3 linked regions of the Coturnix japonica genome follow. The protein of the gene in region 3 interacts with the protein of the main gene of each other region in a biochemical or structural test. Links are inferred from orthologs where the notes say so. Each region holds a gene or a part of one and is shown on either strand. Other genes may lie near its edges. The genes, in order: MGMT, SLC9A3R2 and PRKCA.

Region 1 (3,650 bases), on a different chromosome or scaffold from region 3:
ATGCACAGAGATGTGGGTAACCCATCCCTGGAGGTGTCCATACCTATGGATGCATTGCTGGGGGCAGCCAGCCCATAGGCTGTGTGTGTGTTCCCAAACGAACCCTCTGTGATTCTGCAGCTACCACGAGCCAGGCACTGACCTTGCAGCAGCATGGGGTGGTGGAAGGGTGGCAGGGGCAGCTGCTTTGTCCTGCTGGGCTCACAGAAGTAGGCGCTCAGCCAGGCTGCACACTGCTGCAGCGGCTCCGGCATGGAGGTCACATTGCCACGCAGCTCACAGCACACCGGAGCCTCCGTCCTGTGGGCAGAGATGTCAGGCTGTCAATGACGAAAGCAAACATTCATACTCTTAATGATCTCAAAAACATCTGATCCCGAGGCAAAGACTCCAAAGCTTTCTTTTTCTCTGTTGAAAGCAAGGAGAGTCATCAGAACAGTAACACAACTTCACCCACAGCACAGAATCATAGAGTCACAAGGTTGGAAAGAACCTACAAGATCATCTAGTCCAACCGTCCTCCCATTACCATCGTTACCACATCACCTCTTGATCTGCCATGGTGATGTGAAGTTGTTCAGACCTGCTGTAAGAAAATAAAGAATGGGTGAGAAGGAAAGACCACACTTAACTGGGAAATCTCAGGGAGCAATAGAAGGAAACCACCCCAGCCTGGTGGAAGACAAATCCTGGGTCTCCGTGGGGTTGGAGAGAGGTTCCTCCATGCACCCACGGGCACAGCACAGCCTCCAGAGCCCTCCTGGGGAAGGAAGAAGAGGAAGCAGCTTTCTGCAGAGCCAGCGCTTTCCTCTTCCGCCACTCCTTCCAGCGACGTTGGCAGGTTTCTGCTTTCCTCCTCTTATTGAATTGGAAGGAAGCAATTGAGAACTCATTTGATTTTCAATGGCAGCTCATGCTTTCAGGATGCTGAAGAGCAAAGCAAACGAACAGAAAGCACCCGCAAATGAAAATGTCCTTTTTCTCCAGCTGCTTTTTTCTTCTTTTTCTACAGAAGTGCAATGCCTGTATGAGAGCATGGAGAACATGAGCACCACATCTGCAGACATTCCAGCCCTGTTCTGAGCTGTAAGCCCTGGGTTAGGCACAGCAGTGGCAGGGAGGAGATCACGGTGCTCTCCTGCCTCTCTATGAGACCACTCAGAACCACATGGACTGTATTCAGCACATCTGTAACCAAACAGCCCAGGAGCATGAAACCACCTGGAGAGCAATATGGAGACAACACCAAGAGCAGCTGCCAGACCAGCAAGCCCTGCCAGCAGCCTTGTACCTGGATCTGACAAACCTCAGCTACACCATCCTGATGCATCCTGATACTGCAGCTTTTCTTTTCCCCCAGCTGGAAATGCATCTGGAGCCCCAAACAAGTTCTGCTGGTGAAACTCAACAAAACAGTGTGCTGCAATTGGTTGGATGTGTCACAAAGGGGTAGAAATGAGAGAAAACTGCAGAAATAGCAGAATACATGAGGGACAGCAAGAGAAAACCACAGCAATTCTGCCATAGAGTTGTGGGGAAAATGTAAAATCAACTCACTGCTATGCTCGAGATGTATCACAATGGAGAGGAAATCCTTTCTCAGTTACCTCCTAGCAGAAAGCCTGAGAAAATGAACTGCATCGTGTACCAGTAATGGCATAAAAGACACCAGGCCTGCTTTTGCCACAAGGCACCTTTACAAAAAGACCCAATGCCTTCAGATGCTTCATCCACAAAAGCCGACGGAGCCGAGCACACCAGGACAGCCGTGTAATCAGGCAGCCACCCGGCCCTGCCTCCGGATAGCACAAATGATGTGCAGGCAGGAGCTGTCCCGGGGTTACTCTCGGAAGCAGAACTCTCGCTTGTCTGCTGTGTGATCAAACGGCCCTGCAATTTTCCCCCAGCCCCAATTCGTTTTCTGATTAATTGTTAACCACTGAAGGCCACGTAATTACTGATTAGAAAGTGGCAGAGAAGAAGGGGGACACGGAGGCGGACAATTAAAATTCTCCAGCAGTAGAAGAATATGACAAGTTGATGGCTTGGAGTGGAGGAAAAAGGGAAAGGAAGAACCAGCTTTGGATCTAGTTTGCTTGAAATTAAGTGCAGTCCTCCATCCCCTTCCATTATCAATTTGCTTTATGAAACCGATCTCTACTTTATGTTTCTTTGCTTCTTAGTAATCTCTTTTCTAGGAAAACAAACAAACAAAAACACAGGTGTGAGAATCACAGAACCATAGAACAGCCTGGGCTGCAAAGGCCCACAGTGCTCATCCAGCTCCAACCCCCTGCTGTGTGCAGGGTCACCAACCAGCAGCCCAGGCTGCCCAGAGCCACATCCAGCCTGGACAATCTGTGTATAAACATTCCCAGATGAATATGTGCATGACACAGACCTCAAGCCAAGCTCCCAGCACCAAGGATCATCAGTGATTCCGCACACGCACGATGCTCAGCAGAATAGGGCTCAGTTTTACTGTGGATTGTTAGAGCTACGACAATATCATAACTACAGAATATAATAATGCCTCTGAAATCTCCAAGAGAAGTTGGGAGACTTTTCTGCTCCATTTATCCAGAAGAGCATAGAAAGCACTCAGCACTACAGCAACCTTATGGTTTTCACATCATCTTGCTTCACATACTCGGGAGCCTGGAAATGATTTGGGCTATAATACTGCTGTAAAAGCAAAGGAATACATCCCCTCATGGCTCTGCAGCAGCAGCCCACGAGCTGTGCCTGCTTGCCTGCAGCACTGCAGCCTGCAAGGCCTGCCCATGCCCTGCTTCAAGCAGGAGCCATCAGCCCCCATCACTGCCATTATCCCATCATTTTGCCATCTCCACACCTCTGATTTCTGCTTACTGCCACAAGTCATGAAAACCAAAGCTCTTGTGATGCCCCATCTGCAGTGCTGCTTCCAGGCCTGGGGCCCCCAGCACAGGAAGGACATGAAGTGGGTCCAGAGGTGGGTGCTAAGATGCTCAGAGGGCTGGAGCAGCTCTCCTCTCCAAGTATGCAAGTATGGTGTCCAAGTATTGCCTGTCCTGTAGGATACAAAGTTGATTCACCAACATACATGCTGAGAAGTTCTCTGTGGCAGAAGTGTGAAAACACTTTATCTTATTTTGCTTGGTTAGAAACACTAACAACCACTCCTGAGACTGGACAGCACTAACAAAGAAAAAGACAGAACATCATTAATGCAAAGGCACCTCCTAGCAGCCCTACTCCCCTCCTGCTCCTCCTCCTCCTCCTGAAGTTGCATGGCAGAACTCCTTCTGCAAACTGCCTCGTCATTAAAAATTCAACTTAAAACACCAGCTGCCTCTAAAAGCCTTTTCTGAGGCTTCAAAGCCACACTTTGGTCCGACTAAACCACATGTACATTTCAAAAACCAAGGCTAAAGAGGTTACGGGAAAGTGTTCTCCCTCTGCTCAGCATTCGGTTTCCTTCTCAACACCCCATTCCACCCATGAATCATGATTGGCTGCTGCTGGGTGCTACCTGGAGTCTCACTATGGCCCCATTCCTGGTTTATTTTTACCTGGTCACTGAGTAATTGTTGCTTTTTGAAGTTGGTTGTTTTCACGCAGCTGAGATCTGCCCTGTGAGGTTCCTGTCCCAGCCATTCCCTTCCATG
Region 2 (3,650 bases), on a different chromosome or scaffold from region 3:
CTTTAAGATCTCTCTGCCAAGCGTTTCCCCTGGCTCCAAACTCCTGCCCAGCAGTATGATGGATCTGATGGAAAAGGGCACAGGACTGGGCCTGGATTCAGCATCACGCTTCCCAGCTGAGCATCACATCCCTTCTGCACTCCAGCTCCTCATTTCCAGGAGGATTCATGTTGGTAGGACCCAAAAATGCAACAAAAGAGCCCCAAAGCTCCATGCTGCATGTGCTGTTACCTCCACCAGGCGGTCCTGGGGCCGCAGACCTGCTCTGGATGCTGGTGAGTCAGGGTCAACCGAGCGGATGAACTGCCCTGGGCGGGACTTCTCACTGTGCAGGTTGAAGCCATAACCATTGGGACCTTTCTTCAGGTGGCAGAGGCGCGGACACAGCTCTTTCTGTCCATTTAAATCCTGATTTAAAAAAGAAAGATGATGGGGGGTGGTTACGCGGGGGGAGAGGATAAGATATTGTGTTTGATTTATCGGCTTGGTTTTGTTCTGAATCAGAATTAAGTTGAGAAGGAAGCAACATATCTGCACACCATCCCCTCCTTCCAGCTCAATGGGGACAGGTTAACAAATGGATTTCCTCTCATTGAGTTTATTTTAGAAAACTGATTGTCCAAAACCACTCCAGAGAAATTGAAACAACAACAACAAAAAATGCATTTCCTCAGCCAACAGCAGCCCAGACCCACCCACCCCCCCCCCCACCACCACCACCTTAACTCCCAGCACTGATTGATGTTAGCACCGTGCCTGGCTCCCAGTGACTCCAACACGGCTCAAGGCTTCATCCTCACCTTGCTACTCATCCCTCCCTGCAGGGATGTTCTGAGCAAGCTGGGTGATGCCCAGATCTGGAGCTGCATCTTTGGCCACTCTGGGGATGGCACCAGGGGATGGGCAGCCCTGTCCTGCAACCAGCTCAAAAATGATCATGCAGAACTGGGAGTACTGAGCCAACAGGGCAGAGAGGGATCATCTGTGTGCCCACCTGGAGCCATGTGGCACAGCTGCTCTGCAGTCACTTAGCAGTGAGCCTATGGAAACATTGATCTGGGCAGAGTGGGAAAGCCCTACAGAAGTCTTTGCAGAGAGGAAGCATCAACCCTGCACATGGTGCTGCCCAAGGTGCCCACAGCACGTCCAGGCTGAGCTCGCTGCAAATATTAGCAGAGCACGTGAGGGCTTTGGTGCTTCACCTCTATCACGTGCAAAATGTTTTATGGTTCCTTGGGGCTAACAGGAAGCAGCACACAGCAGGTTTTATCCCACTGCTGTTCTCGTGCACCAGGCACAGTGGCACAGCCATGTCCTGGGCAGGAGCTGCTAAGAAACAGAAGTGCCTTCGGGGCTTTTTTAGGGGGTCTATGGTTTAAGGAAAACATTTCCTGCAGCTGAGTTTTGAATCTGCATTGAAAGCAACACTGCTCCCACCTGCTATCAGACCTCAGGTATCTATCTATCAGTAGGACGATCTCTTACAACCTTACATTTAAAATAATAAAAACATGTGAGAATTTCCCCAATGTTCCCAACCAAAACAAAAAAAAATGCTGGTAATGAATCCCCATCCCCCAGCTAAAGGCAACTGGTAGAAGTGGATGGGGATCTCCTTTGGGTACTTCTACCCAAGAAACACACAGGGCTCCCTTTACCCCTATAAATCCACTCAGCAGTGACCCCTCCATGCTCATTTTCCCCAGAGGAAAAGCCCCCATACAGCACACACAGTGTGCAGTGCTCGGGGCTCACTGCAGGCTCAGCCCTGCGTTCCCATGCCCCCGCGCTGTGGGTTCACCCCATCTGCAAACACTTCCAGCTCTGCGACAGCCGAGGAAAACAGGAAATGATTCAATGCTGGAGCGGGCTCGGTGCGACCTCAAGGGATGCACAGGGCTGTAAGTGCTGGGAACAGGGGCTGCAGAAAGGAACACATCCAGAATCACCTAGTGGGGCTTAGAAATAACCTTTATGGGCCATTTTACTCCAGTTTTAAGCATTCACGGCTCCAGCAGTGGTTCCAAAGCACCAGTCACCAAATGAGCACAGTACCAACAAGCAGGACTTAAGGCTCTACCAGCATCATCCCTAAAATAAACTGCACAGAAACTGCTTGGGAGAGGACTTCTGCAGCAGCTTTGTGGGGTACCCAGCACTGTGCCCTGTGTGGGTATGCTCTGCTCCCACCACCACATCCTGAAGCCAAGATCCACCACTGAGATGATTCAAAATCGTTCTCGTTTCAGCCCCAGCATCAGCTCCAGAGCTCCCCAGAAAGACCTGTCTGAGTGCTGCCACTGCTCCCAGTGCTCCCAGCAGCGGCTGTCTTCAGCTTCTGGAACACATAGGGCTCCAACAAACTCCTCTGGGACTGAGCAAACCCTCTGCTCAGCCTCAAGCACATGATGAAGCCCTCTGCACCGATGCACTCTATTCCTCCTGCCAGCTCTGCTATTCATTCACTTCACAACCTGTGCCAACATTTCCCTGTCATGTGCTAGGAAGAAGTTTCCTGAGCTCCCAGGGGTGTTCTGCCTTTGGGGCACCCCAACCACACTCCTCCAGATCCCACCTGACCTCAAAGACCCACAGACACTCCATTCCTTCCCATAGCTGCACTCACACGCTGCAAAGCCAACAAAAAATGACCTTGTATTTCTCTCTTCGCACGCAATCAGCAATCTTCTTTGGGGGCATCCAGATGCTACAGCACCCACTGATCTCATACATGGGATTAAAAAGCCATGGATGTCACATTTGCCCTATATTGCTGCTCTGTGCACACACCCACTGGTACAGATGTGTCTGTGCAGATAAGAGCTGCACCAACACAAAGCTGCAGTGCCACAGCTCCAGGCACAACTCCACCATACCAGAAGGAAGCCGTGCATTAAAAAGGCACAAACAAGACATTAAGTAACAATGAAACACTTCCAATTAAAAAGGGGAAAATTAAATAAATAAATAAATCTGTTTAGACGTTGCCAGTTCTCATGATCTCATTGCAACACCTGAGGTTTCCAACACCACCATCCCCAAGTTTGGACCGGGGGCTGTGGGAGAAGCATCCCACCCTGCAACAAAGCCCATCTGCCCCCACGGAACTCCCAGAACTCATCATGTCTTCATGCAATGGGGCTCACCCTGCCGGGATGCTCAGAATTGAATACTGGTTTAGCATCACCCTCCAGCCACCCACACTTTGTAGGTGAACACTAAAGGCTAAAACCCCTTAAGAATCCACACTATAGGGGTTATCCCAGAAACACAGCATTGGATCCAGCATGGATGATGGATCCAGAATGAGGATGGAGCACACTTGTATCACTCCCCTGGAAAGGGACAAAAATGATGGAGCTCCTCAGTGCCAGGGGGCCTTAGCACAAGCCCCCAGCCTCATGACCACAAGCTCTTTTTATCTGATGCAGTCAAACCATCCACTGCTACAGGAGCTGGATACCCTCCAAGTGCAGATTTCCCCATGACACATCCAGCTTTTCCACCTCTCCTTCAGTGGAGTTGGAGAAAACACAGGCAGGATCACTCCTGCCTAATTTGCATTGCTCACATACTTTCTTTCAAGCCAGCCCCCATGGTGTTTACCCTCTCCTTTTTGCAGGCAGTTTTGGTCAGAAAATGCTCACTTT
Region 3 (3,650 bases):
TTTCTTTTTCTTGAGGAACAACAAATAAATCAATCTCCTCCTAAGAGGCAAAATAGAGAGTTGAAAAGAAGTGTACTTTAAAAGGAGCGTTTTTAATGCAGAGTAGGGCGATTCCTTAGGGACTAGCAGGCTTCAGTCATGGTTGGGGACTGCTTTTTCAAGAGCAAATTAGAGAGAAAAGCCTCACACTATTGGTCAGGGTGTAAGAAACGAACTTTTAAATCCTCACTTTTAAGCAGTTCCAAGGAAATCAGCTCTCCCTTTCTGGCTTTGCTCCCTAGGTTACTCTGCCACTTCTGGAAGTCACCAACTTTGGTAGGGCTGAATATCTGGGAAGTATCACAGATAGTATATATGTTTGCAGTGTGTTAGTGGAAAGAAAGGACTGCTATTTTTCTGGCTAGTTTAACACCCATTTATATGGTGATGTGCCCTTTACTGAAGAAGTCCCCTGGGACTTAACATCTTATCAGCCCTGGGGCAATGTGTCTGCAATTCACATTGGGGTTTTGGCTCTGGCTTTGTCTGAAATGACTGATACAGCTCATTGCAGTGGGTGAGTAATGATGTTATTTTTGGTGTTTTGATCAAGTTGGTCTGTACCTATGAAAGGGCAAGCTGGATTGCCTCTATACAGCTCACTAGGCATGTGAGTCACCTTCTCCATTGGCAGGTAGGAAGATTTTCACTCCTGTTTCTTTTTGTGCAGGTGATGCTGGCGGACAGGAAGAATACAGAGGAGCTCTATGCAATCAAAATACTGAAAAAAGATGTGGTGATACAGGATGATGATGTTGAGTGCACGATGGTTGAAAAGCGAGTGCTAGCACTGCAGGATAAACCACCATTCCTAACACAGCTTCACTCTTGTTTCCAAACAGTTGTACGTGAGCTCTCTTCCTTGCAGCAGTGGTGTTTTTCATAATATGTGATGCTGAATTATGTCAGTTCAATAAACTTTATTATCATCCAATCGTAGTATATCACAGCATCTACACACAGGAAACAGTGAAGAATGAGATACCCAGGAACTTGGAAAAGGTCAATTTTAGTCCTCTGAAAAATGGTGGACAGACATATATTGCTTAAGTCTCATTTAAGGTCACTGTGGGAAAATACTACATAAATACTCAGATATGTTGTAGTCATGTTTCACTTAAGATACCTGGATGCGGGCTTTAAAATTCTTCACTTATCAAGATAAATCACCCTGCAAAATACTTTATTGCAGTCTTTCTTTATCTCGAATAAGGTGAGAAAGGAATTTAGTATCACTGGTGGAAATGCGAGATACTTTTGTAAACCCTGTGACATCTTTTCTTGTCTATTTTTAATTATCAGAAGTATATATATTGATGCATTTATCTAAATTTATTAGGAAGCATCAGAAATAGGCTGAAGACAAAGATTTTTAACCACATTTAATGCTTTTTGGACATTTATTTTTAGCAGACAAAACTATGTGTGAGTAATTATGGGAACAATGTAGGCAACGAATACATAAACGTGAGTCACTAACATTGGCAAAACTAGACAGCTCCCATCAGTCATTTACTCCTGCAGGCTTTACAGAACATGCCACTTCCATTTCCTGATAGATCAGTTTTGCCAGAATGTACAACCAGTCCCAATAACCTTAAATGCTTTATTCCTGATCAGTGCTTACCTGTTATTGTGCCCAATGTGTTTATGTGCATGTTTAATACTTTATCCTAGGACCGCCTGTATTTTGTTATGGAGTATGTGAATGGTGGGGATCTCATGTACCACATTCAGCAAGTAGGAAAATTTAAGGAGCCACAAGCAGTGTGAGTGTTCATTTTTATATATTTAAATCATGTAATGATCTTTTTACGCTGTAACAGAGTTAGATATCTCTTATCAGCCTATCCTTTAAGTCTGAATTAATATTATAGGGAAAGAGATATTATAGGGAAAGAAACACACTCGACATTGCAGTATGGTTTACAGAAGATATTTCAGTGTGCAGCTTATGAGAAGTTCTGTGATGCTGCATTTTATAGAAGTTTTATCTGTGAGAAGTCAGGAAATGATGAGGAGTTGTTTATGCACAAAGTCCCTTTCGGGTCATCGTACATCTGGTGTATCAGTGAGTAGCTGATAATGATATGTAGCATATTTCAAGATGAGCAGACAGAACATCAGTGCCATTTTAGTCGTGTTTATAACATCTCATCATCATTTATTAGTGTTTCATGAATCATTTACCAATGAAACTTTCAAATCAAGCGTAACCAATTCTGTTTAAGAAATCCACGGAAATAATTTCTTATTTAGATTTAAGTAATCAGGGCTTGGTTAAATGAAAGGCCTTCCAGATAGAAACCCTGAGATATAAAACAAAACGTCGGCAACTCCCTAAAGAAAAACACAGTGGTGTCAGAACATCTTTGGCTCCCAGCTCATGTACCATGCCCAACACCTGTTGAAAACGATAGAGCTTTATGACAACTTGTGGCTGTGGAGCATATTCCAGCACACGTCTGCAAACAGCTCTGGTTTCAGAGCTAACCTTTCATTTTCTTTATGCTAGTCTAAAAAATAGTCTTGTCTTTAGATAATCCTCTTCCCTATAATTTCTGCAGATCCACAGCAACCGGCATCAAACATCCATCAATACTGTATATTCTTTTACTATGTTCAACAATTCTATTTCATATTGCCATCATTTTAATTATGTAATTAATCCATTAAGAGCCTGTATAAAGGAATGCTCTTTCTGCAAATGATTTAATGCCATATGAATTGCAGTGTAAATTGAGCTGCATCCTGAACTCAGCATTGGTATGTGATTAGAGATAATGACCTGTGTCTGATTGGTGCAGTAGGAGTGCTGTGCTCCAGCTGCACCTTCTTCTCTCTGTTATAGAAACAAATTTTCAATTAAAAAATGAAAATCTGCCCTATTTTGTCATGAAATACTTGAAGTTAAATTTATCCATTGAAGTCAATTGGGAGTAAGGTGCCTGTTACATCCTCTGCCTATAATATATGTTTTTTATACTTTAATGTTATCACTATTTACCACGGGGCATTTCCAAAGTATTTTGTCAGGGGGAAATGATGAGGTAATAAGAAATCCTTGGGCTTTTTCTCTTCACACAGGTTCTATGCAGCTGAGATCTCAGTTGGGTTATTCTTCCTCCATAATAGAGGGATTGTTTATCGGTGAGTACAGTCTGTTGTAAGTAATTTTTGCACTATTTTTAAACCCCAAAATGGTCAATTTCTTTGACTAATCAGTGAATTCCTAGAAATTTTCTAGAAATAACCACAGAAGTGCCATTCTGGTGTTGTTTCACTGTAAACCAACCCCTCAGCCTCAGCTTTACATGAGCTTTTCTGTGCTCTACCCAGTTCAACTGAAAACTTGAACATGTAAATGAAAATGATCCTAAATGTTAACATTGAATTACTCTGATTCTTTACAGAGATCTGAAATTGGATAATGTGATGTTGGATTCAGAAGGACACATTAAGATTGCTGACTTTGGAATGTGCAAAGAACATATGTTAGATGGAGTAACAACCAGGACCTTCTGTGGCACCCCAGACTACATTGCACCAGAGGTAAATATTCACCATTTCAAGCATCTTACTTCTCAATTATCAGCTGTCAGAACATGCAT

What was found.
Region 1: of the proteins of PRKCA (region 3) and MGMT, one has a biochemical effect on the other in vitro, tested with the Homo sapiens proteins (2 studies listed by BioGRID). The link is inferred for Coturnix japonica from reciprocal best matches to the Homo sapiens genes PRKCA and MGMT.
Region 2: the proteins of PRKCA (region 3) and SLC9A3R2 form a complex in vitro, tested with the Homo sapiens proteins (2 studies listed by BioGRID and IntAct, with this or other methods). The link is inferred for Coturnix japonica from reciprocal best matches to the Homo sapiens genes PRKCA and NHERF2.

Annotation. Positions count from the first base shown.
Region 1 is NC_029521.1:30,303,747-30,307,396, reverse strand, and holds part of MGMT (methylated-DNA--protein-cysteine methyltransferase), read right to left. Parts: intron 301-3,650; coding exon 143-300; intron 1-142. UniProt on the Homo sapiens protein: Involved in the cellular defense against the biological effects of O6-methylguanine (O6-MeG) and O4-methylthymine (O4-MeT) in DNA. Repairs the methylated nucleobase in DNA by stoichiometrically transferring the methyl group to a cysteine residue in the enzyme.
Region 2 is NC_029529.1:6,206,062-6,209,711, reverse strand, and holds part of SLC9A3R2 (Na(+)/H(+) exchange regulatory cofactor NHE-RF2), read right to left. Parts: intron 409-3,650; coding exon 232-408; intron 1-231.
Region 3 is NC_029533.1:6,864,215-6,867,864, forward strand, and holds part of PRKCA (protein kinase C alpha type), read left to right. Parts: intron 1-709; coding exon 710-883; intron 884-1,716; coding exon 1,717-1,808; intron 1,809-3,126; coding exon 3,127-3,189; intron 3,190-3,452; coding exon 3,453-3,591; intron 3,592-3,650. UniProt on the Homo sapiens protein: Calcium-activated, phospholipid- and diacylglycerol (DAG)-dependent serine/threonine-protein kinase that is involved in positive and negative regulation of cell proliferation, apoptosis, differentiation, migration and adhesion, tumorigenesis, cardiac hypertrophy, angiogenesis, platelet function and inflammation, by directly phosphorylating targets such as RAF1, BCL2, CSPG4, TNNT2/CTNT, or activating signaling cascade involving MAPK1/3 (ERK1/2) and RAP1GAP.